4 linked regions of the Diceros bicornis minor genome follow. The protein of the gene in region 4 purifies or fractionates together with the protein of the main gene of each other region. This does not show direct contact. Links are inferred from orthologs where the notes say so. Each region holds a gene or a part of one and is shown on either strand. Other genes may lie near its edges. The genes, in order: MAP3K14, HTRA2, BCL10 and BIRC2.

What was found.
Region 1: the proteins of BIRC2 (region 4) and MAP3K14 purify together in Homo sapiens (affinity purification with western blotting; 3 studies listed by BioGRID and IntAct, with this or other methods). This does not show direct contact. The link is inferred for Diceros bicornis minor from reciprocal best matches to the Homo sapiens genes BIRC2 and MAP3K14.
Region 2: the proteins of BIRC2 (region 4) and HTRA2 purify together in Homo sapiens (affinity purification with mass spectrometry; 4 studies listed by BioGRID and IntAct, counting the BioPlex papers as one, with this or other methods). This does not show direct contact. The link is inferred for Diceros bicornis minor from reciprocal best matches to the Homo sapiens genes BIRC2 and HTRA2.
Region 3: the proteins of BIRC2 (region 4) and BCL10 purify together in Homo sapiens (affinity purification with western blotting; 3 studies listed by BioGRID and IntAct, with this or other methods). This does not show direct contact. The link is inferred for Diceros bicornis minor from reciprocal best matches to the Homo sapiens genes BIRC2 and BCL10.

Annotation. Positions count from the first base shown.
Region 1 is NC_080757.1:43,655,551-43,663,392, reverse strand, and holds the start of MAP3K14 (mitogen-activated protein kinase kinase kinase 14), read left to right. Parts: upstream 1-4,842; 5' UTR 4,843-4,932; intron 4,933-7,842.
Region 2 is NC_080751.1:14,486,806-14,494,069, forward strand, and holds the start of HTRA2 (serine protease HTRA2, mitochondrial), read right to left. Parts: upstream 3,004-7,264; 5' UTR 2,916-3,003; coding exon 2,410-2,915; intron 2,306-2,409; coding exon 2,101-2,305; intron 2,012-2,100; coding exon 1,817-2,011; intron 1,575-1,816; coding exon 1,488-1,574; intron 1,310-1,487; coding exon 1,204-1,309; intron 1,082-1,203; coding exon 1,012-1,081; intron 336-1,011; coding exon 240-335; intron 133-239; coding exon 1-132. Other genes in the region: lipid droplet-regulating VLDL assembly factor AUP1, read left to right, coding at 3,298-3,347, 3,428-3,565, 3,645-3,795, 4,004-4,188, 4,449-4,521, 4,622-4,695, 4,938-5,007, 5,106-5,208 and 4 more; ATP-dependent RNA helicase DQX1, read left to right, coding at 7,188-7,264.
Region 3 is NC_080743.1:21,671,977-21,679,222, reverse strand, and holds the start of BCL10 (B-cell lymphoma/leukemia 10), read left to right. Parts: upstream 1-4,233; 5' UTR 4,234-4,490; coding exon 4,491-4,547; intron 4,548-7,246. UniProt on the Homo sapiens protein: Plays a key role in both adaptive and innate immune signaling by bridging CARD domain-containing proteins to immune activation.
Region 4 is NC_080746.1:32,615,343-32,622,630, forward strand, and holds the start of BIRC2 (baculoviral IAP repeat-containing protein 2), read right to left. Parts: upstream 3,012-7,288; 5' UTR 2,624-3,011; intron 1,417-2,623; 5' UTR 157-1,416; coding exon 1-156. UniProt on the Homo sapiens protein: Multi-functional protein which regulates not only caspases and apoptosis, but also modulates inflammatory signaling and immunity, mitogenic kinase signaling, and cell proliferation, as well as cell invasion and metastasis.

The sequences.
Region 1 (7,842 bases), on a different chromosome or scaffold from region 4:
GGCTCCCGGGCCAATGAGAGATGCTGGCAGGAGACCAGAGGGTAGAAGGTGGAAGGAAAGGAGAATCTTCATCCCTCTTGGTCTTGAGTGGTGTCTGTGGAAGTGGTTGTGTCTTTTCTGTGGTTCCAACTCCTTCCAAGTGACCCTGGCCCCCAGCCACTGATTACACTGCTTCCCCCTCAAGTCCCTCCAACCCAGGGGTAGCAGTGGATTCCCGGCCACCTCGCCCTCTCTGGCTGGGCTTCCCGGCTCTTCCACCCTCCATGTAACCAATTCCTTGCATTAAATTCCAGGTTTAAAAAACTCAGAATGAGTTCTGCTTCCCTGGTTGGGCCTTGCCTGATACAGTAACTCTATCCATCCTCTCATCACTCTCATCACCTGGAATGACTTACGTCCTCATTTGTAGTCACTTATTCAAGGTCTGGCCACCCACTAGACTAGAAGCTCCCTAAGGGTAGGGACTAGTCTGGAGGCTTTGCGCTCCCTCCGCAGGGCCTGATGCAGTAGGCGCTCAGAGCATCATATTTGTCCCTGGCCGCAGATGAGACCTGAGATAAGGTCACTTGACTAGGAGGCAATTAGTGGGTGTCCATGGAGAGAAGGGGTGGTGGGCAGAAACCAGACTGCAAGGGGTACATGCAAGTGGGGAATGAAGCAGACACCAGGAGTACCAAGAAGTTCGGGAGTTGAGAGGGGAAAGAAAGTTGGGTCAACAGTGTAGGAGAAAGCCAGGATAGGGGAAGGGCTTTTGTTTTTTTTTCTTAATTTGTCTGTTTTTAGGCTGGGGAGATGATCACATTAGGAGGTTGAGAGGAAGAAGCTAAACGGGAGAAGTCGAAGGGCAGGAGATGCAGGGACATCGGAGGTGGAACACATGACCTGGGTGGTCTCTTGGGAGGATTACATCCACCAGCAGGGTTGAGGACAGTATGGAGAGGAGACTGGAGGCAGGGACGCGAGTTAGGAGGTGATCACCAATCAGGAAGTGAGAAGAATTTGAATCAAGCCTTAACCCAGGGCTCCCTAAGAAGGCTCCAAAGTTGGGAGAGGTCTCAGAAGGTATGTCCAGGACCTGCTCTGGTAAGGTCGTTTTTGCCAGGGAGACCCCCACCCAGGCAGCTCCGTCCTTTGTGGAGATCAGCACCTCTCCTCCTCACTCACATCACCATGGCACCACCTCTTCTCCAATAGCTCTGTGGTTCCTTGTAGCCCTTTCCATCTCCCTACGTGGGGCACAGAATTGGTCGGGGGCAGTCAGGGTCCAGAATCTAGTAAACGTTTAACAACAAGCTCGGGGGCGGGTAGCCCTGCCTTATACCGTTTGCCAATTTCCACGGTGTAAATACTCCCACCATATCCAGTTTCAAGCTACCAACGTGAGGTCACCAATGGCACAGTAGGAAGAGAGCTCCAGCACATCACTGCCTGCAACCATTCCCTCCCCTGCCTCCATGGCCCCTCCACAGACTCTGGACTGGGCGGAAGCAATGGGGCAGGTCCAAGCCTGGGAGGGCAGCGACAGCACCACAGCTGCAGCCTCAGGCAGACCCCTGATAGGGAAAGTAAAACTGCCTCTCCTCCAGGAACACCCACCCACAGCCCCCAGTCATCTCTGATCTCAGCATCTCATCTGAGTTCTTCTCAAGTATAACTACAGGATCTCACAGAAATCTGGACCTGCGATCCACAGACACTCAGATGATTCACAAGCCACTTTCTCACTAGACGTGGCTGGACATCATGAACTGGGCTGACTAAGGCAATAAAAACCAGAATATAATTTCCTTTCTTCCAAAGCAAACAGAAAAGCAAAAATGATCCAAGGATAGCATTCTCTCACTGATGCACAAAATGCACTCACTCTTCACCACACTTCTACAGAACTGATGGGCAACTGGCTCCTTATGGCCCAAAGTCTCTTTACAGAGTCCTGCACGCAGGAGGGCAGGGGCCCTGGGGTCCGCCTGGTTTGAATCCCAGGTCTTCTATTACAGCAAAGTGACTTTGAGCAAGTTACTTCTCTCTGAGCCTCAGTTTGCTCATCTGTGAAATGGGATGATAAGTAAGAGATACTTACTCTATGGGGTTAGACTGCAAGAGTTCTCAACTGGGGGCAATTTTGGAGACATCTGGCAATGTCTAGAGACATTTTTTGTTGTCACAACTGAGTGCAGGGGCCTAGTTACTGGCGTCTAGTGAGCAGAGGCCAGAATGCTGTTAACCATCCTACAATGCATATGACAGCCCTCCACAACAAATGAATTATCCAACCCAAAATGTCAATAGTGCAAGGTTGAAAAACCCTGGGCTAGAGGGAATATTCAGTGAGGTTATGCACACAAAGCACTTAGAAGTGTCTGATTTACTTTTTGTAAGCTCTCAAAAAACAGAAGCTGCTATTCTTTTTGGAAGAGCACAGTCTAACCCTCCTATTTCCAGACTTGAACCCTTGGGGTGGGATATGGAAATCCTTGAGTGCTGAGAGCCTGGCTCACTGCTCCAGGTGTGAGTCACCCTGTAAATGTCAATTTATTTTATTTAAAACAGAGCTGAGGCTGCACAAATGACTCAGGGCTAGAAGCTTTCCCAGGTTGTCGTGACTTAACTGGCTCGGCTGAGAGGAAGTAATTTTGCCCTGAAGCTCTCCTTCCAGAAGGTGCAAGCATTTTAAGGCTCCACAGTGCTTACTCCAGTGGGTGTTGTGTTGTTTCTCACCTCACCCTACACACAGTGGGGCTTGGAAAGACCTGAGAAAAGCAGCTGAAACTTCGAGGCCCTGCTTGTCCCAAACACCGTCCTCACTAGTGTACGGTGGTTTGTTTCTCCTCTGCAGCCTGATGTGAAATTCCTTCTCACGAGTCACAGTTTTGGGTCAACACAGCCCACTCTCTCCCACTAATACACATCTGTGTTCACGGATGGATTTAAAGACAGATAATCTTGATGGGGGGGGGGCGGCATGGAGGTGAACCAGGACCAGAGAAGTCTCAAGGGAAGCTGGGTAAAGTGTGTGGGCATTGGCTGTCCTAAAGAAGGAATGGTGAGAGAGGGAGAAGGCAAAGGCGAGCCAGGGAGTGTCTGCAGACTCTGGGCCCATGCCCACGACTTTCCTGAGAAGTGGTGTGCCCAGAGGCAAACAGGTGGTGGGAGAGGCTACAGGCTTGCTGATACCGACCTGTAACCCACCATCTGGCCAAGTTCCGCCTCTCCCTGAGTCACTGAAATGAAAAACCCTGGCGTTGGAAGGAGCTTTAGGGTTCACTAGCTTCTTTCTTGCCCACCATCTCCCAAGCCAGCCAGCGGCAGAGCCAGTTTATGCATCAGAGACCATCCAGCTTCAAGCATGCGCACCATGGGGGCCACAACCTCAAATGCTTCAGGGGCCAGACGGACGACATAAGGTTAAGAGGTTGAGTGTAAAACAGGGGTAGGGGCTGTGGGGAACTGCAGGCTCTGCGCTAAGGCATTCAAACTCAGTTTTAAAAAAAACATTGGGCCAGCCAAACAAAACATACCTATGACCTGTGTGAGTGGGTGAGGCCCTTAGGTTGTGAGTTTCCCACCTCTGCCTAAATAAATGGTCTTACCTATCCCCCAACAACGGAGATGTCTGTTGGGTGCAGATCTCCAAAAATAGTTACCAAAAACTGTCTGAAGAGTGATCCTGAGCAGGTGGCCTGGCCTTTGTTCAAACACTGCCAGAGATGAGATGATCCTTACTACTCAAGACAGCCTGGGATGCGACCTGCCTACCCCACCACTGAAACCAGTTACTACACCTGCCTGCCGTGGACCACTGATGAAGGTGTGGTGCCCAGGTACGTGCACATCTTTTATTTTGCCAACCTTTAAAGTTTGGAATTTTTTATTACAAATCAAATACACGCTCACTGTAGAAACGATGGCAAGGGCAGATAAACGAAAGTTAGAAAAGAAAAAATGTCCATACCTCCCCTAACCGCCCAGCCCCCCGCCTCCCATCAGAAAGAAGCACTGTTGACACCTTAGTGCGTATTCAGACTCCAGGTCCTTTTTTTGCATAGGTAAAGCTCTCGTCTTTCCGGCTGTGTAGTACTCGCACCACGTTGCTTCTCCGGCTGTGGGAAGGGGGTGCACCATGCCATCCGCGCGCCTTCTCATCAGACCTCGGTTTCCACACACAGGTGTGACCTGTGTAGGCCTTTGGCTCCCCAAGCTTCTCGAGCAGGCACCAGAACCTGTCTTACTCGTCCTCAGGGACTTTACAGTGCTAGGGACATAGTAAGTGCTCAATAAAGGTGATTCTAACCGTCCCCCCGCCTGCTTACGCCGCCACAGCCTCAGGCAAAGAGGAAGCAGAACCAGACCCTAGAGACAGCGCCTCGCCGTCTCCAAGGTAACCGAAGTTCGAACCTGGGGAGTGCCCACGCATGCGCACACTCGCCCTTCCCTCCCGTAACCTCCAGAAGAACGCAACCCGTAAAAAGACTGCCACAGCCGAGCGCGCATGTGTGGTTACACCTACACTCGGGTCGCCTCCGCCATCTGTCAATCCGTCCGCCCAGCAATCTCTTCCCTATAAACATCGTCCGGAAGTAGTGCCCATTTCTGAAAACGAGACCTCGTTAACCAATCGTTGCTAGGGGCGGTGCGCCGGGTCTAGCCAGGACGCGCTCTCATTGGTTATGTTGGAAGAGTGGGCGGGGCCAAAGGTCGAGGTGCGGCCACAGCAAGGAGGCGCGAAGCGAGGCAAATTTGCAGCCGCCGGGGGAGGCGTGGCCCCGGGGGAGGCCGGGAAGGCAGTGAGGGGGCGGGACCCGAGTCCGGGGCGGGGCGACCGTGGGGCGGGGCGACCGTCGGCCCAGAGAGCAGCGGTCGGCGACCGGCGGCGGGAGATCGCGGGTGAGGGGAGCGCAGCGCTCGCTGGTTGGGGAGATCGGCGCTCGGCCGGTAGGTGACGGGGCGGGACCCCGGGCCCGGAGCGGGGATGGGTCGCCCCTCAGCCCGGGGCCGGGCTGCGGCCTGGCCCGCCGCCCCAGAATGGGGGGTTCGGCGGCGCGGCCGGTCGGACCCACTCGCGCTCGAGCCCTCGGCCCTGGCGGCCGGCAGCCGGCGCGCCCTCACGCACGCTGCCAGGGCCACGGTCGCACGCCGTGCTCGCCGCACCCCCGCAGGCCACACGCTAGCCCGGAGCGCGCGCAGGGGTGCCCTGCTTCCCCTTCCCCGACATCCCCATTCCCCGGCGCTCCCTGCCTCACCAGCAGGCCTGCCTCTCCTGCTCCGGTCCCCGGGTGCCCCCAGGAGGGGGCCTCGTCTCGGCACGGGACGGAAGGTGTCTAGTGCTCAAGTGCGCCCGGTCTGTGCGCTCTCCCACCTGCCCTGGCAGTGAAACCCTCTGGCCTTGCCTGGGAAGTTCTCGGGTCACACCCCGAGGCGGGGAGAAGGAGGAGAGCCTGCCCTTGGCACCCAACGGGGTAGTGCTGGCCACTCGCAGCATCCTCTTCCTTCCCGTGACCCCTCTGGAATTCTTCGGTCCGCTCCACTCAGGACTTGATCTGTCGGCTCAGATATAATATTCCCACCTTGGAAGCCCATCGTGACCCTGGCAGCCTGCAGCCACCCAGCACCAGGGAGAAAGAGGCCACTTGTACAGTGCAGAGAGTCCCACCTGCCTCCTTGATGTTGAGTGACTTCAGAAAAAGCGTTTCCTTCTTGATTGAAGTTAAAGTGTTGCTCTCAGTCCTAAAGGGTGGACTGGGGAATGAGAGTGAGGAGGAGAGGATGAGTGGAGAAAAGATCCAGAAGTTAGTGGTGTAATTGGCAAAATTATTTTTGTTAACTGGAGACGATGAACACCAGTGACTTGATTAGGACTCTAAAAGCAAGTAAAGTTAAAAGATGAGAGGTGGGGCCTAATACAAAATAGCAGTCTGAAGTTTATTCCAGGAAAAATGTTGAAAACCCCTTGACTAGAAACATGGTCTTTCTGAAAGATTAGAAGGAGATAGTGTCTTCACATTAGTGATGTGTTTTTTACTTAGTATCTTCATACCTGTAACCTTTTTCCTTCAGATGTCTGTGTGATGGGATAGATAATATTGTCCTATTTTATAGGTGAGGCACCTGGGGCAGGAGGGGAGAGGGAGGTATATATCTTGCCTAATGCCTCATAGCTAGGACTCAGGATGAGGACTCCAGCCTGGGCCACTGGAGTCTTGTCCAGGCTCCTTCCCCTGGACCAGGACCACATTATGGGACTTAGATGCAGGAAGGAGGGAGAAGTGTTTGGTGTGATATTTATGCTCTTAACATAAGAGGACAGGTGCTTGTCTTGCTTACGATGTGTTTGGACTTACTCTTGGTGTTTTCGAAGTGATGTCAAAGTGAGTTCTTTTGGTGCAGCCATGCCAGACCTCTAAGTTTTTCAGACACCTTTAGGACATCCTCATTTATTTTGAAGGGTGTGGTGAACTTCTCAGAAGGTCTCAAAATAAAAGTAATAGTCTCTGACTTTAATTTTAGAAATACTTGCCCAGGTATACATTCCAGCACTTTTGTGAAATCGGACAGCCATAAGCTGCCAAACTGTAGGTCATTTTCTGACCGTTTTCAGATTATAGGAAGCAGTTCTGAAGGGGGTTTTTTGCCCCTGGTGTTGCCTGTTAGAGTTTGTGGGAGAGGCACCCCAGACAGAGACCCTGCCAAACGAGCCTTCATCTATTAAACAAAAATGTCTGGTTGGCCGTTCCGCCTCAACAGATGGAGGTTTGGTTCCTCATTTTGGTTCTCCTGTTGAACACTGACTCCTTTGTGATCTGCTTGGAGTGTTTGTATATCATTTAATGTTCAGAAGCAGGCTCGCCCTGATTGGTTGGTTGTCTAACTCCAGGCAACTGTTGTGATTTTTTTGGTGGGTGATAACAGTTCATCGTGGCCGAGGTCTGGTGAGAGATCTGTAGAGATGCGAAAGAGGTAAAGCTTCATCCAGGGTTGTTTTCTTCATTGTTGGCATCCTCTTAAGAGTGTCCTGTCACTTTGGCCTGTGAAGCCACTTTTAATTTCCTATTTTTTTCCTGTCTCAATGGATAGCACATGAGCTTTCCTAATGGGCTCCCTGCCTTGATGAAGAGCTGACAGACTCATGGTGGTTGGCTTGACAGATGTTCTTTCTGGGAGGATAGTTAAGAGATCTTAAAACCAAATTCAGTCCTGAATTAAAAGTATAAGTCAGCTCGATACACATATAGGCAGCATATTTGTACCAATGGCTTTTATCATCTCAAAGCTGTTTTTTTTTTTCCTGGCAAAAGGTTAAAATGCAACTAAAATTCTGCTTTCATGATTAATAAGTCACTACCGCAGTTGTGTCTGATGCTTCCTGTTTGCCCCATTTTTGTATTTCAGTTAAACTGGAAACATCTGAGCATTATGGGCACTTTTGATGGCACCAGTGTGAAATTGGCGGGAAGGGGGACAATTCCTGTCAGTGGATTTGGGAAACTCTAAGGATAAGCCAGCCCCTCTGGCCTCTGCACACCCAGATCCTCAGGAAGGGAAAGGAGTGGGGGTTGAGTCTCTTCAAGGGGTGGGTGAGCATTTAAAGTGATGCACGTGTGAAGGCTTTGCATTTACTTGGTGATGCTGACTGAAATGTTGAAAGCAGTAGATTAGAAATGGAAGGCCAAATATAGGGCAAACTGTGTAGTAGAACATTTCAGTTGAGCTGAGCAAGACATTGAAGTATGTCAGATATGGGGTCTTTAGTTCTGGGCTTGTCTTACTACCTGAGTGACAATGCAGAGAAAAGATGTTTTTCCTCAGTGGCCTGTGTGCCCGTCTTTGTATTCTAGTTTAAAAGAT
Region 2 (7,264 bases), on a different chromosome or scaffold from region 4:
AGTGTTTCCGGTCCCCGCCGGATCCGCACTGCCAGCTGGGATTGGGTTCGAACAGCTTCATAAATATCTTCAGCATTTTGTACCAGCTGCTCCCCAATAGCCAAGATCACATCACCTGGCCGTAGACCAGCCCTATGGTGAAAGACAGACAAAGAGAGAAAGGAGGGAGTAGCCAGCCCAGTTCAAAGGCACATGCACACCTCACCCATCCGCACCTCCCACTGCAGTCTCTCCCTCACCGGTGTGCAGGGGAGTCCAGGATGACTTTATGGATGAGCACACCATGCTGAACATCAGGAAAGCTTGGTTCTCGAAGCTGTAGCTCAGCAAGGATGCTGAAGGGACATAGATCACCTGGTTAACCACACCAAGGCACTCTCCCCATCTTGGATTCACCTCAAATCTCTCATCAACACACTGACAGCTGTATGGACAGGGCATGCACTGGGTACTCCAGATACAAAGGCAATTCACTTTCTGCTTCTGGCAGTTAGGAAACAGGACATGTATATAAAACATAATTAATTCCAAATGACACAGTGTTAAATCAATAGCACTAAGGTCAGTCTAGAATCCTAAGAGAAGCTTTAAGGAGGGAGTAGAACTTAAGCTGAGCCTAGAAAGATGGGTCTGACATTTAACTATAAAAACAAGAACAACATAAATAAAAACATGGGAGTAGGAAATCAGGTTGGCTGGAACAGAGTATATTCACGTAGGAAGGTTGAATTAGAGACAAATGGAAAATGGCCCCTAAACACCAGGTTAATGGATTGAAGGTCAAAGCAGTAATGAGATAAAATAAATCTGGTGGCAAGTGTGCAAAATGGAGTGGGATGAGAAAGTCAAGATGATGAGAGAGGACAGCTCTTCTGATAGCTCCACATGTGAGGCAACTCATCTTAGATAAAGATAAAATTGATAGAATAAAACAAAGCTCAACAGAAATGCCAGCTGCCCACCACCGAGTATACTGGTGGTCCTACATGTCACTACCCCTAAAGCTCATACCTGGGAGTCAGGGTCAGCATCATCACCCCAATGTAGCGGCGCTGGGACCCACTGATTCCAAGATGAGAATCTGTGATAGAGGGACAAATGAGCCCCACCCAGCTATATCCTTCCTTCCCTTCCCCATCCTCCCAATAAACCCTTCTCCAGTAAGGTCCAATGAATGCCCCTTCCCCCCTAAGCCAGACTCACTCTTCTTTTCTCCACGATGCAGAAACTCTCGCAGGCGATCAGAAGGGATGGCAAAGGAGATCCCAGCTGTGACCTTCATGGTATTCACCCCAATCACTTCCCCATCCTGCAGGGACAGAGCCCACTATTCCCTAACCCCAACAAACAGTAGGAGATGGGGGTACCTTAACAAGCGTAGCTGGGAGTGTTGGGGAATTGGGGAGATCAGGTTGGATTCTGGGAGAAAGCCTATAAGAGACTGCTCAGAAACTTGACCAAACATTATTGAATTAGGGAAAACCTACCATTCCACACTGACCTGGGGCAGGGATTCTTGGAAAGAAGGATATCCCACTCACCAGGTTAACCAGGGGACCTCCAGAGTTTCCAAACTGCAGGACAAGAAGAAAATATGGAAGAGATCCAGGGACTCTATGCCTGGGGGCATAATCAGGATGTCCGCACTTTCTCCAAATTCTCTCCTTTCCCAGCCCATAAATGAGTGGCCACGTTTTTTGCAGCCCAACCTCTGTGTATAGCCTTATCCACCATCAAACACAGTTGGTGCCTACACCACACAGTATCTCTCCTCTCCCCCAACCTAGTTTGTCATTTCTGTCACATCAGGACGCACATCAATGGCAGCATCAGTCTGGATGTATTCCACATTGGTTTGGGGGAGGCCCAGGTCTCTGGCTGGACGCTGAGCAGAGCTGACGATGCCAGATGTGATTGTGTTCTGCAGTGCAAAGGGACTTCCCATGGCAACAACAAACTCCCCTTGCCGGACATCAGCTGAGCGTCCCAGGGGCAGTGTGGGGAGAGGCTCCTAAGGGAGAATGGGTACAAGAGAGCTGTCATCTGGAGATACGAGCAAATTCACAGCCCCAAACAGACCCGGCCTGGCCGGACGCCCACCTTAGTCTGAATCCTCAGCGTGGCAATGTCTGCGACGGGATCCACAGCTGTGACCACTGCCTCATACGTGTCGCCGCTAGGCAGCCTCACACGGACTCGGCGCCGATCAGCCACCACATGGGCGTTGGTAACGATGAGCCCGTCGGCAGCCACCACGAATCCGGAGCCATTCGAGATAGGGACTTCGCGGCCAGAGAAAGGGTGCCTGGGATGCGGGGAAAGCACGGATGTGAGGGGGCTCGGACCTCTCCTGCTCCCCCCGCCCTCTAGCCCGCGGCTTCCATGCCTCCTGGTCTACCCCACCATTACCGGCCCAAGATCTCGATATAAACCACGGCAGGTGCCGTCTTCTCCACCACGTCTGCGATGAAGTTGTACTGGCTCCGGGGAGAGGTGGGCGGCGAGCCGAGGACCGAGGCGAGGACGGCCGGAGGACCCCGACCCCCGCGCCACAACAACAAGAGCACTGCCCCCCCGGCGCCCAGCGCCACCGCCAGCCACACGCGCAGACGGGTTCCAGGGGTCCCTGAGTCCTCCCGCGTCCGGGGGTCTGGGGTTCCCGCAGTCAGCTGTGCTCGGGAATCTGAAGTCCCCGATGTCAGACATGTCCGTTGTTCAGGGACCCCCACAGACAACCGGGCCCGGAGACTGGGGGTCCCATAAGTCACTCGGGCCCGAGGGTCAGGAGTACCTGACGTCAGCAGGGCCCGGAGGTCAGGGGTCAACGGGGGTCCCTTCCCCCAGCGAACCCCCCCCAAAGCCCGCCATCCCCGTAGGCTCCAGCCTGCACCCTGCCCCGCCCTCAGTGCAGCCATCAGCTCCGCCTCAGCTGCCTCCTCGCCCGCCCTACACGGAGGCGGCGCCCTGGACCCGAGCGGGCGGACAGCGGGACGCGGGGCACGCCGGTACCTGAAGTCCTCCAGAAGTGCACGCCGGGACCCAGGATTCCAGGAGGCCGGCTCCGCCCCCGCCCCGCGACTGTCGGGAATTGTGGTCCCCGCAGGACTCAAGTTCTGAGGTGGCCCGAGGGCCCGCGAGGCATGCTGGGACCGCTAGCCCTTCCGGGGCGCCTCAGGATTTCGGGTCCGGGCACCCTGGGACGATGCCCTAAGACTCCGCCTTCCCAGGAGCCCCTGCGGCGGGGCGTGAAGATGGCGGCGGCGGTGGAAGGGGCCCGACACCCCTAAAGTATTAGCGATGGAACCTCCCCCGGCGCCGGGGCCGGAGCGGCTCTTCGACTCGCACCGGTAAGAGTCCCGGCGGGAAGTGGCCGGCTCCCGTGTCCACTCGGCCTTCGGCGGCCAGTCACCCCGCTTCTCGCCCCTAGGCTCCCGGGTGACGGCTTCCTGCTCCTCGCGCTGCTGCTCTACGCTCCTGTCGGGTTCTGCCTCCTCGTCCTGCGCCTCTTTCTTGGGATCCACGTCTTCCTGGTCAGCTGCGCACTACCAGAGAGCGTCCTTCGCAGGTGCTGACCCAGGCGCTCGGGGAGGGTCAGGGCTGGGTCCGGCCCGAGGCTGTGCAGTCACCACTGCCTGTGTCCCTAGGTTCGTGGTGCGGACCATGTGTGCGGTGCTGGGGCTTGTGGCCCGGCAGGAGGACTCTGGACTCCGGGATCACCGCGTCAGGGTCCTCATTTCCAACCACGTGACACCTTTCGATCACAATGTAGTCAATCTGCTCACCAGCTGTAGCACCGTGAGTGGGGGGCGAAGCCGAGAGCGCCACGGGGCGGTTCTCTGGGGCCCAGCTCTTGGCTCCCCTTTGCCCCTCTGCCCGCCCGGGTTTTCCTTGGGGACCACAAGCTACTGAGCCTTACTCCTAATCCCGCTTCTCTACTTCATATGTCAGTTTTTCTCACTTCCCAACATTCTTTTCTCTTTGCTTTCTTTTCTCCCGTTCCCAGCCTCTACTCAATAGTCCCCCCAGCTTTGTGTGCTGGTCTCGGGGGTTCATGGAGGTGGATGGGCAGGGGGAGTTGGTGGAGTCACTCAAGAGATTCTGTGCTTCCACGAGGCTTCCCCCCACCCCTCTGCTGCTGTTTCCCGAGGAAGAGGCTACCAATGGCCGGGAGGGGCTTCTGCGCTTCAGGTGGGTGAGCATAGGTAGCAGTGTCCAGCTGGGTGGTGGGTGGTCAGGCTTGGGGGCCCTTGGGTTTTAACAACCTTCTTCAGCCCTACCCACTCCATTCCTAGTTCATTTCCTTCCTGTCCTGTTTTAGTTCTTTACCCGGAAATTCTTTATTCTCCATTTATCTACTTGTACAGTTTGACAGTTCCTGTTTTAAGTCAGGTATGAACTGCTGCCTGGAGTGGCTGGAATGCCATCTTACCCTCTCTTCTCTCTTCTAGTTCCTGGCCATTTTCTATCCAGGATGTGGTACAACCTCTTACCCTGCGAGTCCAGAGACCCCTAGTCTCTGTGGTGAGTGCGTGTTGGACAGGGAATCTCTGGGTCTTGGAGCAGAAGTTTCCCACTCCTGGCCCTGGCTTCATGAAGACCTCACTTCATGCCCTCCCCTCAGACGGTGTCAGATGCCTCCTGGGTCTCAGAATTGCTGTGGTCGCTTTTCGTCCCTTTCACGGTGTATCAAGTAAGGTATTAACTGTCCTCACTTTATGGTGGCTGGGAGACACTCACCTCAAGGTCAAGGAAGTAGTTGCCTCTGCCCCATCCATTTGCAGATCTTTTAATATCAAGTTGCACCATAGAAGCAATACAAAGTATTGACTATCTCCCCACTCGCACCACCACTTTTCCATGAAAAGTATCAAAGTGAGGAGAAGGTGACAGCCTCTACCCCGGGTGTCCCCAAGATGTTCCTGGATTGTTTTTTGCAGGTGGCTCCGTCCTGTTCATCGCCAGCTGGGGGAGGGGAATGAGGAGTTTGCCCTCCGTGTACAACAGGTGGTAGGATACACAGGCGGGGTGGAGGTGGGGTCTTTCCTTAGGTGGTGAGGGAGGAAGGCTTGAAACCTTGACACTTCCAACCTTCCAATTCTCCCTAGCTGGTGGCCAAAGAATTGGGCCAGACAGGGACACGACTCACTCCAGCAGACAAAGCAGAGCACATGAAGCGACAAAGACACCCCAGATTGCGCCCCCAGTCAGGTGGGTGGTCTCTGTACACAAAGCTTTTTGGGTTTTTTTAGCTTACTGTGATTTCCCCCTATTCCTGTGCTAGTCAGCCTCTCCTTCCTCCTAGTTCTCCACTCACCATATTTCGGATTTCTTTTTTGCAGCCCAGCCTTCTTTCCCTCCCTCCCCTGGCCCTTCTCCTGATGTGCAGCTGGCAGCTCTGGCTCAGAGAGTCAAGGAGGTTTTACCCCATGTACCACTGGGTGTCATCCAGAGAGACCTGGGTATGGGAAAGGGTAGCCTCACACAAGAAGACAGGCACAGAAAGGAACAGTGGGTGGTGAGGGGAGAAGGTGAGCAGAGAAACAGACTCCCCTCTCCTCTCTTCCCTTCTCCCCAGCCAGGACTGGCTGTGTAGACTTGACTATCACTAATTTGCTTGAGGGAGCTGTAGCTTTCATGCCTGAAGACATTGCTGAAGAGACCCAGTCGCTTCCCACAGCCTCAGCCCCCAAGGTGAGACCCAGAAAATGGTCAGGTCCAAGACTTGGGGTGGGATGGAACAGTCTAAATACTCCCTAGCCCTGATGTCTCTTTTTCGATCCTGAGACCCTAGCACAGTGCCTCTCTTGTAAAGTAGGCATTCGATGCGTGTTTAATGATGATGACTTCGCAAGCCCTCTGACATTGTGATCACCTCAGTTCCCCAGCTCTGGCCTGGTGACCCCTCAGCCCACAGCCCTAACATTTGCCAAGTCCTCCTGGGCCCGGCAGGAGAGCCTACAGGAGCGCAAGCAGGCACTATATGAATACGCAAGAAGGTGAGGGGCTTAGAGGACAATGGGTAGTAAGGGGCAGGTTGGAGAAGGGAGCTAATTATGGGGCCAATATGGCAAAGTCCACACAATGTCTTCTTATGTCCTGTAGGCGATTCACAGAGAGACAGGCCCAGGAGGCTGACTGAGCACAAGATGGCACCCAGAGCCGCAGGACGGAGACTGGGGGCAGCCCTTACCCAACTCACGACAGGCCGGATGAGTGGGTGGTAAAAAGGGAGGGATGGGGCTCCCCCCAGTATCACATTAAATTCAGGGTTTTCACTCAAGGTCTCTGTTGCCTCTCTGGGTGTCAAAATCCCCCTGAGCAAGTTCCTTTTCCATTGGTTGGGGGGGATGAGTTTGTCGGGGAGTGGTCTGAATGGAACTGTCTGAAATCACCTCCTCGTGTCAAGAGATGAGTGATATTAAGGAACTGTAACTGAACTGAAGACTCAGGAACAACTGGACCCTAGCTTGGGTGTTGAGCCCTAATTTGTGAAGAAACAGCTGCAAAACTGCAAATCCCAGGATGCTTTTCACTAACGAGCACAGTACACAGGTGTCTGTAAAGTTCACACATGCTCAGTGTGGTGGTTGGAGCCTTTTTCCATAGGCTCCTGACTAGGTTAAATAAGGTGGAGCAAATGGCCCCACCCCAAAACCAGTCTTTAGGGTTCAGGGTTTGAGCCAAGCCCCAGGGTGGAGCCAGAATTTACCTTTGTACTTCATGCGGGTCAGGGTTGGTGGTAACTGCCTGGGTGGGTCTAGAACTGGCTGCCATCCTGACACGTCTCAGAGCTGCAAGCAGGTTTGAATCCAGGGTCCTTGTGGCCCTGTTCCTTGGTTCCTGCCCCCCTCCTCCTCTTATTCTTTAGCCTTTTCCCCTGGGGACCTCCCCACAGGGTACCAGGTCTCATATAATTCCTGCTGCCCCTGAGGACCCCTGTGGTAGTCACAGGATTTTTACTATCTGACTACAGGGTAATAGTTCACTTTTGATACTCCCTTACTTGGAGACTCAAATCTCCACTATTTCCTGGCAGGCAAGAAATGTTGGGAAAGATGGACTCCAGTACATTATCACGTGAGGGTACAGGTTAGGGATCAGGGCTGAGGTGGGAGGATGGTGTTAGCCACCAAATATGAGGCCTTAATGACTGCCCTGCCTTCTGTAGGTCCTGCCAGTCAGCCACCATGGCCTCTCAGCTTCTCGGGCTGGCAGAAGAGTCTGGCCCAAGCCCTGGGGAGTCTGAACTGGCTGTGAACCCCTT
Region 3 (7,246 bases), on a different chromosome or scaffold from region 4:
CTATTTACAGGAAATTTACCATTCACAATTACTTGGAATAGAATTCATTGCTCAATACAATGCTTGGTATCTGGCAGGAAGTTTTAAATAAATCATTAAACAGCAGTTAAAGCGCCACCTATTAAAATCCCCCAGCCCAGTTTAAATACACCTCTTTCATGTCGGCTTATCAGTCAGAAATGGTTTCCTCTTTCCTCCCTCTGCATTCCTCTAATAGCTATCTTTACTGAATGCTTATTAATTGTTCCCAGGTCATACAGCTAATAACTGGCAAATCTAGACTCCAACTGTACCGAGTTGAATAGTGTCTTCCCAAAATTCACGTCCACTGGAACCTTGCAATGTGACCTTATTTGAAAATAGTGTCTTTACAGAGGTAATCAAGTTAAGATAAGGTCATACTGGATTAGAGCGGGCCCTAAACCCAATAATTAGTGTCCTTATAAGAAGAAGGAAATTTGGAGACAGAGACATGGGAGGAACGCAGAAAAGAAGGCCGGGTGGAGAGGGAGGCAGAGATGGGAGTTATGCTGCGCCAGCCAAGGAATGCCGAGGAGTGCTGGCAGCCACCAGAAGCTAGGAAGAGGCAAGGAAAGATCTTCCCTAGAGCCTTCAGAGAGAGCACGGCCCTGCCAATTTTGGACTTCCAGCCTCCAGAACTGTGAGAATAAATTTCTCTTGTTTTAAGCCACCCAGTTTGTGGTAATTTGTTACGGCAGCCGTGGGAAACTAATACACCAGCCTAGGTCTGTCAGATGCCGAACGTCCTCATTCTTAGCCACTATGATATGCTGCCTTATGTTTGTAGCACCTTAACTGTATCCTTCACAGCATATTTATCAGATGCCTCATATTTCACCGTAGGAGGGAGATGGTGCACCTAGAAGTCGAGGTGGGGACGGAGGTGGGGGGAGGGAGAATTATTGCAAGGTAGAGAATGGGCAGGGCTATTTTCTTGAAAATATGCCCAACCTTCATTACAGTCTGACCCTGTGATTTAGCAGAGAAGGGGAAATGAGTTTGCTTATGAAGGAAGTACGATGCGCTAGAAAGAAAGCAGGATTGGGAACTGCAAGGCCTACCAGGAACTAGCTCTCTGATTAGGTACGTGGCATTCAGATATCGCTACTTTGATACAGATAGTTTGACTTGGAAACATTGAGACATGGCCTTAAAAATGAAATATTAAACTTTCAGCTTTAAAAATTCCTAAGCTCCTCACCAGTCCCACCCAATCCCTGATCCTCATTCCATAACTCCTACTTCTGACACATAGCAGACATTTAACTTTTTAGTTGAATAAATAAATAAGGGAATGAATGTTGAGGATGCAAGAAGGCTGGAGGTATCAGTAATGAAATGATGGTCAACAACAAGGAAATAGTCAGATGTATAGCAAGGGTAATGAAAGAAGGCTCAAGAATCAGAGATGTCTCCCATTAATATTTGGTAATCAAAAGCCATAGCAGAAGCAAATGTGGCAAAGTATCAATATTTGTTAAATCTTGGTAATGAACAGAGGTTGTTTGTAATATTATTTTTTCCTTAGAGTTTAGTGTGTTTGAAATGTTTTGTTTAAAAAAGAACAATAATAGGGGCCGGCCCCGTGGCTTATCGATTAAGTGCACGTTCTCTGCTACTGGCAGCCCGGATTAGGATCCTGGGTGCGCACCAACACATCACGTGTCCAGCCATGCTGAGGCAGCGTCCCACATACAGCAACTAGAAGGATGTGCAACTATGACATACAACTATCTACTGGGGCTTTGGGGAGAAAAAGGGGGAAAAAAAAGGAGGAGGATTGGCAATAGATGTTAGCTCAAGGCTGATCTTCCTCACAAAAAAAAAAAAGAACAACAATAGAACAGCAACCTCATAATGGCTGGATCAAAACGGGTGTGTCAAATTGGCATCATTCAAATCACTTTGCTCTGATGGGTTCTGAATCCCCTCCTTCACCAGCAGAGCTGGTATGGTTATGGCAAAACAGTTCATTCCCACACTCGGATGGACCAACACTTTGGAGACAACCCATGGAAATATACATGAAGAGACAGAAAATCATCATTTCCTTGTGCTCTGTATTCCTGCTTCTGGGAATTTATGCAAAACAAATGATAATTCAAAAGAAAAAAGAATGAGGAATATGTAGAGGAAAAAAATTTTTATAACAATGAAAAATTGGGAATAACTTAAGGTAACTATGGGAGAGTGCTCACCACTGCTCCCACCCCTGTCACAATCATGCCACCCTCACCTTTGCCTGGATCTCTGTGGTAGTCTCCAGCTGCTCTCTGCTTCCGCCCTTACACCTACAGTCTGCTCTCTACTCAGCAGACAGAGTAATCCTTTTAAAAGGAAATGAAATCACTTCCCCACTTCTCTTCAAAATTTTCTCACTACCCTCACTGCTACCAACCCTGGTCTGAGCCACCACCTTTGGGGCTGGATTATGGCATAGCTCCCTAACTGGTCTCCCCTTTTCCATCCTCCTTCCCCTCAAGGCAACAGTGAAAGTACTCCTTTTCAAATCATAAATCGGATCATGTCACTCCTCTCTGCTCAGAACCCTCCAGTGGCTTCCCATCTGACTCAGAGTAAGCCAATATGACTCAGAGCAAAGTCAGAGTAATTTTTACAGTGGCACACAAGGACCTCATCTCCTTCCCAGTCACAATGGATGCTTTTCATTGGCTCTTCTGTCTACTCATATGTTCTTTCTCCCTATGTCCACATGGCTCATTCCCTCATTTCCATCAAGTAGTAACTCAAATCTCCCCTCTTCAGTGAGGTCTTCATTAACCAGCATATTTTAAATTTTACCACTTCATACAGCCTCATCCTACTTCCCTGAATTATATTTCCTTTTAGCATTTATCATCTTCTAACATAACAAATAATTTACACTACATTTTTCAAATATCTATCTGCCCTGTCCCAAACACAAAGACACCAGAATTTAAACTCCAGAAGGAAAGGGATTTTTATCTGTTTTGTTCACAGCTGTTTCCCCTAGAACAGAGTCTGGCATATAGTTGACATTCAATAACTATTTGTGAAATGAAAGAACAAATGATTAAGTAAATTGGGTTGTACCAAAAGGATGGAAGATTAAGCAATCAGAAAAAATGTGGCATATCAAGGTGGAAAAAAATATATGATGCAATGTTAGTGTTAAAAGCAGAATTCCTGTGTTGTGATCAAAACTTCATTGGTGTGGCTTTTGCAACACTGTTCTTTTCTGATTCTCTTGGTTTCCCTTCCCTTAAATGCTGGGGTTCCCAAGTTTGTCTTTGGTCCTCTTGTCATTTTTATCTACCTTGTAGCTTCAAATACCATCTCGGTTATTTTGCATGTTGTCCAAACAACAGTTGGGCCAGGGCTCTGTTCAAGCTTCTCACCCACATTTACTCATGTTGCTTTGCATACACCTCTGTTAGAATACCATTCTGGGAATAATTGTCTGTCCTTCAGTCTCCCCCAACAAAATGGGAGAACTCTTACAGGATAAGATGCCTAGAACATATTCATAAGGACTCCATAAATGTTTGAGTAAGACAAGATAATAAATAATAAATTGATTGCATACTGTGTGCCAAGTACCTCTAAGAACCTTACATATACATATTTAATTCTCACAGCAGCTCTATGAGGTAGATATATCATTACACAGATGAATAAACAAGGAAATATGTATGTTTACAATCAACAGTGACCAAAAAGTATGCAGACGCTAAACTAGGTGTTAAAGCGGTGGGATTGTAGGTGCTTTTTCAAAGTTTCTGTAATGTAGTTAGGCTGTGTATTTGTGGGGGGGGTGTGTGTGTGTGTGTGCGCGCGCGCGCGTGCATGACCAAATAATTTAAAAACTTGTGTGGGCAAACACAGCAACAGGAAATTGGAGGGCAGGGTCTGGGAAAAGAGGAGGAACTCAAAGGTGCAGACAAGCCGAGACCGGACTGCACCAGCGAGCAGTCTGCGAAGGCGGGGAGTGCCGGTGGCGGAGCAGCGACCGGTCCCACCCACGGAAATAATTCCTTTCGGAGACGCCAACCCGCGGCCACATGCAAACGACCTGGAGGCTGTGGGCGGAGCCACTCCCGAAAGACTCTGGCCGGGGGGCGGGGAAAGTCTGGGCCCGCGGGCTCGCCCCGATTCGCTGCCGCAGAGATGGGGCGGGCTCTGCTGGTGGCCCCGCCCCACCGAGGGGCGGTGCCTGCGCCTGAGGCTCTAGCGCGGAGGTGGAGCGCTGCTCAAGCGCCGCGTCGGGACGCGTAGGTCTGCAGCGTCGTCGGCCTAAAGGGCAGAGCCGGAAGCGCCACGGTTTGACCCACGGATCCCCTCTGTCTTCGAAGGGGCAGCCCTCTTCCTCTGGGCTTTCTCCACCTCCCCGTCTCCCCGCTCATCCGGAGGCCGAAGCCCCCAGCCTGGGCGGGGCGGCGCAGCCCGAGCTCCGCGACCCGGAAGAAGCGCCATCTGCCGCCTCCGCCATGGAGCCCACCGCGCCGTCCCTCACCGAGGAGGACCTCACTGAAGTGAAGAAGGACGTGAGTAGCACAACCTTGCCCAGGCGCCGCGGCGGGCGGGCGCGGGGGGGTGGGCTGCAGCCCCGCGGACCAGGAGAGCGGAAACCCGGAGTCCGAGTCCGAGACGGACGAGGAGCCTGCGGGTCGGAGGAGCGGAAGGTCCAGGCGTCGCGGGACCGCAGCGAGCCCTGCATACGAGGGACCTTGGTGGAAGTGATCCCCCGGTGACCTGTTAATCGACGTTTTAAATCACTCCATGCAGGGCCAGGGTTTCTGAAACCTCGCTCAGTGGAGCGCTTCTTCGCAGCCAGCTCCTCGCCCACTCCTCGCCCGTGCCCTGGTGATTTTCCCCCGCTGCGCCTTGGAGCTGCGTTGTTAGGGATCGACGGCTCGGGTTCATCCTTGAGTCTGATTTCCTTTGCTGCTGGCTCAACCTGGAGCAAAAGCCGGACCAATAAAAAGATCCTAAGCAGTGGAGGAAATATGTGAAACTTTTTGCAAAGGGGGTTGGGGGAAGCTCAACAGCTGAAAGCACAACCTGGAATTCCCCTAGTAAGCAAACGCCCACATATTTAAATTGAGGGGGGGGCATGAATACAAGTAGCCGAGAGTTAATTTAGAAGTAAGCGTTGAAAATATTCAGAAGCTAAATTATGGTCTTCTGCTTAGATACTGCAGAAATGCACAAATCTTAGTATTCTTAAAGAATGGCTTTGTTGCAGTATGACTTGTTTCTCTTTTTCCTTTGCTTTTAGTTACTTGTTTTGCCATATAAGACCTATATGAGTACCACTAAACTACTTCATATTAATTGAAATTAAAAGTAGAAATTCAACAAGAAGTGTGTTCTGGCTTAACACTGTGGTACTTTTACAAAATCACCTTTGTGAACTGGACGAGACAACTGCTTTTTAAATGTTCATTTACTTCAAGTCTCTCCCATTTCCCTCCCCTGTAAGATTTATTACACTGTACTCATCATTACAGTTGGTATGACTCATTAGCAGAAGGAAACTAGATATGACTGGGACCTGTGCCTTAGTTTCCTCATTCAGCAGATATTTATGGAGCACTTACCATATGGAAAGTACTGTTCTTGGGCCTGGAAAGATACAAAAAATGACCATCAAGCCTCTGCTTTACATTCTAGTTGAGATAAGACTGGGACATTGATAACAACTATAGAATAAATGAGTGTTGTCTTATTCAAGATTTGTGCCAGTAAAACCATGAACTTCGAGAGCTAGGCCTGCTATGTTCCAGATGCTGTGTCACACAATTTACAATGTTCCCATTTAAACTTTACAGCAGCCTCTAATAATTGTCATTCCCATTTTACAGCTGGTAAAACAGGCAGTGAAAGGTTACAAGTGGGAGGATATACCAACAGAGATGTGAACAGTGGCTTCCAGGCCTTTATTTTTTTCTATCAGTTCATTGATATTATCCATCTCCATGACTTCAATTTATACAGCTCTATCAGAAATTCATAACCTTGGGGAATCATGGATGGTTTATGACCTTAGAAGATTTTAAATTTAATATCTACGTATTTGGACTTCCTTCTCTCTCAACTCTAGGCACTTATTTCCAAATATCTACTGGAAATCCACTTTTATATTCTTGAGAGCCCTCACTTGGTCTAAAATTAAACTTTTTATCATCCCTCCCCCAAGGCTCTTGCAGTTGCTGCTGTATTCTCTGTCTTAATGAATAGTATACCACCACATGTCCTGGAAACTCCCACTTCTTCACCGTACTCCTCCTCCTCACCTGCCCCATCTAGTTGTTTATTTACATCATTATTTTGATTGAATTTAGTTCAGTTTCATAAATATGAATTACATGCTGCTGTGAGGCTGATACTGTAGTTGATTTTAATAGTTCAAAAATTAAAAACTAAGAGAGAATCCTAGTTTGAGAAGAGCTCAATTTCCTGCGGGGGCGTGGCGCAGGAAGAGAGAAGTAAAATGGTAATTACAAATCACAAAATAAGTGCAATCAATTTTACATCCATCTGAAACACTGTCTAGTTGACACTCTGCTAAGTGCGAGGTATACAGAACAAAACATACCTGATTCTTGCCTGCTTCAAATATAGATCATTAGGGTTGAAAACAAATAAATGTATAATTACAAGTTATAGAAAGTACTATGAAGGAGACAAACAAGTATTGAGAGAATAATAGAGGAAATCTACTTGAGATAGGATGGTCAGGGAAGCTTACGTTTAAACTGGTTCCTGAAGAATGTGACGGAACTGGAGAAAGAGCATTCTGGGCAGAATAGAATTTGCAAAGGACCTGAAACAGGTAAAGCCTTGATGACTTGGGGAAATTGGAAAAAGGCATAGGGTGCCCTGAGGTGAAGTTAGGAAGATGGACTAGAGCCGGGTCATGAAGGGTCTTACAGATGGTGGTAAAGTGCTCGTTTTTTTTCCTCAAGTGTAGTGGGGACCTATTGAAGATTGATGTTACATTTTTTTAAAGATCCCTCTGTCTGTTGTATGGACTGAGGAGAGCAAAAGTGAGAAGAGGGAAGCCAGTGAGGAGACTCTTGGAATTGATGTAATTGAGAGATGATGGTGATTTAGATTAGGGTGAGGGCGGTGGAAATAGTTGGAACGGGAGAACCCCAGATGCATTTTTGAAATAGAAATGATAGGACTTGGTGATGGATTGAGTATGGGAGTTGAGGAAGAGAGTGGAATCAGATTAGTA
Region 4 (7,288 bases):
CGTAGACATTCTGTAGAGTTCACATGAAAAGTCATATTTCATTTTCTGTTTGTTGCCGACTGTCCAACTTGATAAGACCGTGCTATCTTCCATTATACTCTTAATTTTTTGATACGAGGGACCTGGGACAAGTCTTTGGGAGGTAGTTTTGTGCATGAGTGATTTTACTTTTGAATGGCTAAAAACCTTCACATGAAATTTCTCATCTCTTCACACTAGATTTTTACCATAAAGAATCAAATAAGCTCCTACTTATGTAAAACTCACTAAACCTTCTTTACTGGACTTACACCTGAGTTTACACTCAGGTAGGATGAATCTCTCCCCTCAATTACCAAGATACTATTTAGTACTCTTTGGGATTATATTAACTCTTTTAGGTAACTTAAGTGTTATGTGCTTCTTATTTGGTGCAATACTAACCTAATGGCCTGAATTAAGTTGATATACTTCTAAAAATAAGTTAAAACTCCTTGATTTTTCAAGTGGGTTTATATTCCCAAAATTCTAAACAACTGTAGAATACCTAAGTTATACCTTTAATTTGCTTCTGATTACAGCCTACAAAGCCTAGATGTCAAGCCAATTACTAATTATGCTACAAGAGGAAAAATCTATATTCAAGATTCTTTCCCTACAAGTACTTTAATATGATATATAAAAAAAACCTTGTTTTATTCTAGTAAACAAGAACTAAAGTCTTTGTATGGTCACATTATCGAAAGGCTAATTTCACATAGCTTATCATCATAGTATTTACTTAAGTGGGTTATATTAGCTTCAGCTAACAACTTTTGGGGACGTCAACACCCACAAGCTTTATTGAACTTATGCTCATTATAGTGTGTATGATATCAAATGAAATTAATTTTGCTTAAAGCCCACAAACTGCTAAATCTTCCATCTTTGTTAAATATTGTCTATATTTGTTTCCATTTCCTGCAGCATCATTATGTTGCCTTTCTTCCTAACTGCATATCACTTTATTACACTTGATCAACTGAAAGTATTTTCTCCATAAACTTAACTAGTTAACCATAAAATTGCCACAGCTGAAACTTTTTACACTCCATTTAAAAATTAAATCATCTGTCTTTCACTTAAGGTCATGCATCTATTATACACTCATTTTGTAATTAAAGATAAATCAATTTATCAAGATACAGCTTGTCCTTTTTAGTGTTAATACAAATGCCTAACAAAATATTGCACTACCAAGAGAATTACTGCTTCTGCAAAATGTACCAGTAATTATCCCTAGTAGCATTCTTTCTGAAAACCCTATTCATACACAAAATTACACTCCACAGAATTCAAACTATATCCCTTTATAAAGTTTCTGGGTCTCCATAACGGGATTTATTACTGCAGGGGGAAAAAAGAGGGGGAAAAAGTAGACTCTTCAGAGCTGTAAATCTGAAAAGAAAAAACAAAAGCTATTTTAGAAAACTATCTTCATGTTAAATAGAACTTACACACTCTTCAATTTATTCAGTGAAGTCTTAAAAATGATTTACACTTTAGATAATACCACATCTTAATTCCAGCAATTTGTCTCCAAAACTTTCTAAATGGAAAAGCTCTTAATTCAAATAAATGCCATATACCCCCCTTAGCACTAACTATACATTTTTTTTTAAACGTACAACTTTGAAGACAGATGGACATTTCCAAAGAGGAAAGTATTTTGTCCTTGGTCTCCTCCCCTTTTCTGGTGACAACTTTTAACGGTTTAAAGATGATATCTCTGGCAGTTTGCTAATAGCAAAAGGGGACAGCGGTGAAAAAGAGAGACTACATCCCATCAGCAACAGTACAGCAATAATTAGACAGTGATGTTATTTTTGAAAGTCACATCTTTCCAGGACTAGGCAAACTGACCAGTAAGCGTAAAATGCATCAGAAACTCATTAATATAAACCCTTAAACTCTACAACTCCCAAGCCACAACCACAGAAAGCAACTCGAAAACAAAACATAGCACAATGGGAAAAACACTGGCCTTGGGAACGTGACCACTGCACAAATGCTTTCGTTCCACCAGGACTTGATATCATATCTTTAAATTTGTATACACAAACACCGTACTGTGGATTCTGCCATCTTCATGCAAACTGTAGCCGGGTGGGGGGATAGATTGCAAGGGAAAAGAAGAGAAACTGTGGGATTTACCCACTGATTTCCCGGAGTTACTTCTCTCAATACACAACAGACTCCTGAAGTGGCGGAGCACAGCTCGAACTCTGAAACGTGAGATGTGGCCGCCACACACCTGTCTTCGTTTCAACATATTAAATTAAAGGAACACCGAGGGTTAAATTAAATTCCTGCAAAACCTCTATGAGAAAACATCTTGGTCAAAGTCCAAGGGCCGAAAAGTGGGCGGCGGCCAGGGCGGGCGTGCAAACAGGTCAATTTTTATCTCCGACTTCGAGTCTTGGAGCTGAAACTTCCGAATTAAAAAGCCTCGGGGAGAATAGAGAGAGCCAGTGGAGAGAGCTCACCGCGACCCGCGCCCCCCGGCCCCAGGGGCCCAGGGCCTGCCCTCCCTGGCCCAGCCGCAGCTTCGGGGAAGCGGGTCCCCGCGCGGCCCGGGCCCGGGCCCGGAAGGAGCTGCACTCACCGCAGTGCCGGCGCAGCAAACACGGAAACAGCGCGGCTGCCCGGCGACCTCCACAGACCCAGAGCAACGGCGCCGACAGAAGACAGGCCCGCCGGCTCCGGTCCGGCGCTCCCGAAGCCCCCCGCCCAAGCAGGGCCCACGCAGACGCACGGTGACGTCAGCGCGCCTGGCCCGGCCCCGCGTCACCGCCGCTCGAGGGCGCCGGGGAGTCTGCGGTCCGAGAGCGGGAGCGAGGGCGCGTCCGCCTGCGGGAAGTTGGTCAGCCCGCGGGGCGAGGCGCGAGCGTCCACATCATCTCGGTGTTTCGATTTTTAATCTTGCAGTTTGAGTAACGTTTCCTTCTCTCTCAGTCCCTGACATTCTCCTGACGGGGACGTGGCAAACGGGGAGCCGTGGAGTTTGAATCTTGGGAAACCCTGCGGAAACGCCCCAGTGCCGGCGGTTTTGCGCCTCTTCCTCCGCGTCACCTCAGAGTTATGATCCAGCATCTGGCAAAATTCCTCCGGGGTGACACCTCCGCTCGTCTTAGATGAGTGCACTTGAAGATGAAGTCAACCTGGTGGCATTTTTGCTTCAATTAAGTAAACAGTTGCAACCGTTTTAAACAGTTGTAACCGTTTTGCCTCAGAGCGCAGCTGCGTAGCATCAACATTACACAGCCGGCAGTGGAAATGAAAAGCCAAGTGGTTGGAAAGTAGAACAGCGTCAGAAGATTAATTTTGAAGGCTTGATTTTATCATCTCTTGAGGATTATATATCTATTTTATAATCAACCAGTGTATCTTTTATTTATAAACATTGTTTTTAAACTTTCGGTTTTCTGTTCTGGAGACATATGCACTAACGAAAAAGTGTCTTGTTGCAAAACTCATCGCTAGCAACATGAACGGTGTTTTAGGCCAGGCTTCACTCCCGGGTTTTTCTGAATGTGACTAAAATGGAATGTGTACATTCATATATATGCGTGTGTATACATAAATCGTGCGTGAACCACAGAGGAGCCCACTTCTCAATGAAATTTTTAAATAGTTCACTGATAGAAAAATTCTAAGTAAAAAATCTTGGTGTTACTAGTTGTGGGCGTTTTGTGTCCCTCCTCTTTAGTAGTGCCGAAATGCAGAGGCGTGCAGTGTGTGTTTGTTGTATTGCAGGGAAGGAATTTTTTAATTTACTTGTGTGAAGACACTCTTTGTCAATGAAATCAGATGCTTTCTTCTCGCAGGGGAACTCCAGGGGACAAACATTTCAAAAACTTCCAAATAACAAGCCACTTAATTAGGCAGCCAGGGGAATTCCAAGACCCTGAACCATTTCCCATTTCCTGTCCCTGTCATTTCTGCCTGCCAGTCAGTCACAGAACAGGAGATCTTCTGTTCCAATGATAATAATAAAAAGAAAGTATTTGTAGCAGTTTGTGATACAGAGAAAAGAAATGCCATGGCTCCCAATGACTAAAAACTTCCAAATATGCACATGAATTTTGATAGTTCAGTATTTAGTCCAAGTCACTCTTTCTCGGAAAGTTACAGAATCTTCCTTATATATGTGGGAAAATACATATAGCAAGAATTGTTCATTCCGAGTTCAAGATTATTTCTCTTTTTCAGTTCTTGTCCTGACCAAAAAGTAAGATAATGAATATACTTCAGTATTGGGGAAAATTCGAATTTCAAAAACCCAAAGGCCTTAGACATTTTCCCAAAAAAGTATGTAATAACATTCAAGTATAATATTACTTTATAACTTTTAATCTTGTATAACCTTGTAGTTTGGCGTTAAATCTATTCAATTAATTTTTTTCATATTTCAAGTGTAGAATTAGGTTGCCATCCTAATATTTTTCACATTTTTGTAGAAAAAATATTTATAGGATCCAAGACAATTTTGAGGAACATAAATAAGATGGAGGGGACTTGTCCACCAGATAACGAGTTATTTAATAAAGGCATGGTAATTAAGACAGTATTGTATTAACACAAGGATGGACAAATAAACAAAGGGACAAGTTAAAGAACCCGGAAAAAAGACATATATATATGAATTTGATATATGACATTGATATTATGTATTAGAGAGAAAAGGATTAACTAGTCAATAAGTAATGTCAAATAACTGATTATTCTAATAAAAAATAAAATTAGATCATGACCTTAAACTATTAAAAAAATTCCTGGTGAATAAAAACCCAAAAAGTGAACAGCTATCATTATCATCTGAGGATTTAAACGTATCTTGTGAGTTGTAATCCATTACAGTTATTGTCATTATCGGTGCCCAAAGTTGTTTAATCTCAGGCCAATGGGAGCTTATTCATATTGGCTCCTGAGTCCTTTCAACATGGCCCTAGTAGTCTTTGATTGCTTTTCAGGCTGGTTTTGTACATTTCTTACCCCATACCTGTAGTAAGCCATTTATTCCAAGTGCCCTGTTTCCTTTCATGGGAAATAGTATCTGAAGACCATAATCTGAATGTTTGTGGTGCTAATTATTAGAGTTGTATTGTTTTTATAACCTATTCCATGGACAGAGTTGGGTAATATGGTCTTGTTTTGTTGTAGTTTTTTTTTTTCCCTAATAAAATGCATCATGGGGCCGGCCCCGTGGCTTGGTGGTTAAGTGCGCACGCTGCGATGCTGGTGGCCCGGGTTCGGATCCCGGGTGCGCATCGAGGCACCACTTCTCCGTTCATCCTGAGGCCGAGTCTCACATACAGCAACTAGGAGGATGTGCAGCTATGACGCACAAATATCCACTGGGGCTTTGGGGGGAAAAAATAAAATAAATAAAATCTTTAAAAAAAAAAAAAAAAAAAAGTTTTAAAAAAAAAAAAAAAAATGCATCATGAACTCTTCCAATTCAAATTCAGGAATTCAAGGTTTTATTTAACCTCATTGATCGTACATCTGTGACTTTCTCCCTTCGCACTGAAAAATCCTTGTTCTCACCTTTACTACTCCCTTCCTGCTCCGTAGGTAATGATTTAAACATTTTTTATGGTTCATTTTTTCATTTTAAAAATATAGTTAATTATATATGTTTATCCATAGCTCCCTTTTTCTTAGATATATGATAGCGTTCTTTTTCTCATCTTTTTTCACTTAATAATAAATTCTGGTGATCACTCAATACTAGTATATATAGAGAGATATTCCTCATTTCTGCACAGTACTCCACTGTGTAGATGTAGCATATATTCAACTAGTACCATAATGTATTCAACTACTTCCCTATTGATGGACATCTGGGTGGTGTCCAATATTTTGCTATTACAAACAGTGATGTAATGATAAACATGGACATACATCTTATTTTAGGATATATTCCCAGAAGTTGGATTGTTAGGTCAAATGGTAAATTCATATGTAATTTTGCTAGATATAGCCAAATACCCCTCCCGCTCCATGGGAATGTTAGCATTTTACAATCCAGCCAGCAATATATGTAAGTTCCTTTTTTCTGTACAGCTTCACCAGGTGAGTATGTTGTCAAACTTTTGGATTTTTGCCAGTCTATCAGATGGATATTTCAGCATAGCTTTAATTTCTTTGTTATGAATGAGATTGAAAATCTTTTCATATGCATCAATTGCATATGTAACATTTTATATATTTTTTTAAAATTAAGCATAAAAGAATATTAGGATTGGTTATGTGGTATTGTTAAAGGAAAAATTATTCTGACACTTGTTAAAATGTCAGTAAGTAAGGAACAACAGAAGGAAGACTTTATTCAGGACTATCGCATGCAGTAGGGGAAAGAGATCAGGCTCAACTCTGAATACATCAAAGATGGCTGAGGATTTATAGCCAACCAGCAGAATGAGGGGAGTCAGTGGATGTATAATTACTTAGTGGAGACATCAAGGGCAGGGGGATTCTTGCTGAATATAGGCCGAGGGCTTATATATCAAAGGTGGAAGATAAGGAATTTGGTCAGATATCAAGGGTGGGGGCATTCTCACTAACCTGACTTATAGCAGAACTGTTGCTAAGATCAGGATAGGTGGGCCAAAAGTGGGGTGGGAGGTGACAAATGGAGAAGGCACTGACTTAAATCTGCATAACAAACTTTACCCTGTTTACCATGCTTTTCCTGGTAACCTCCCCATAACTGGCCTCCCCACACTCTTGATTTTGTCTTTAGCTGAAGATGGTATTTAAGCCTGTGGCTTAATTCACCTCAGGGAGTTACTCATCTTTCCTTGGGTATCTCCCACGTATAAATGAGGTATGCATATTAAACTTCTGTTTGTTTTTCTCTCGTTAATCTGTCTTTTATTACAGGGATCTCAGCTAAGAACTCAGACGGGTAGAGAGAAATTTTTTTCTCCCGTATGTCAGTATATACTGAAGGGGAGGAAAAATCTCTTCCTCTGCCCATCTTAGGTTCTCCAGCTGGGGTCCTGTAAATTAGACTGGCCAAAGATAGATTATCAAGAGAAAAACAAACAGAAGTTTATTAATATGTGCGTTGCACGTGTTCAAATGAGAACCCTCAGTGATGAGTAACCCAAAGTGGTGGTTAGAACTTAGGGTTTAAATACCAACAAAGGAAAAGAAGTTTTGGGCTTCCGGATAAGAGAGGCAAGTTATAGGAAGGTCACCAGGAAAAGTATGGTAAACAAATTGTTTTGAGAGGGATATCACCTAGATGGCAACATAGGTC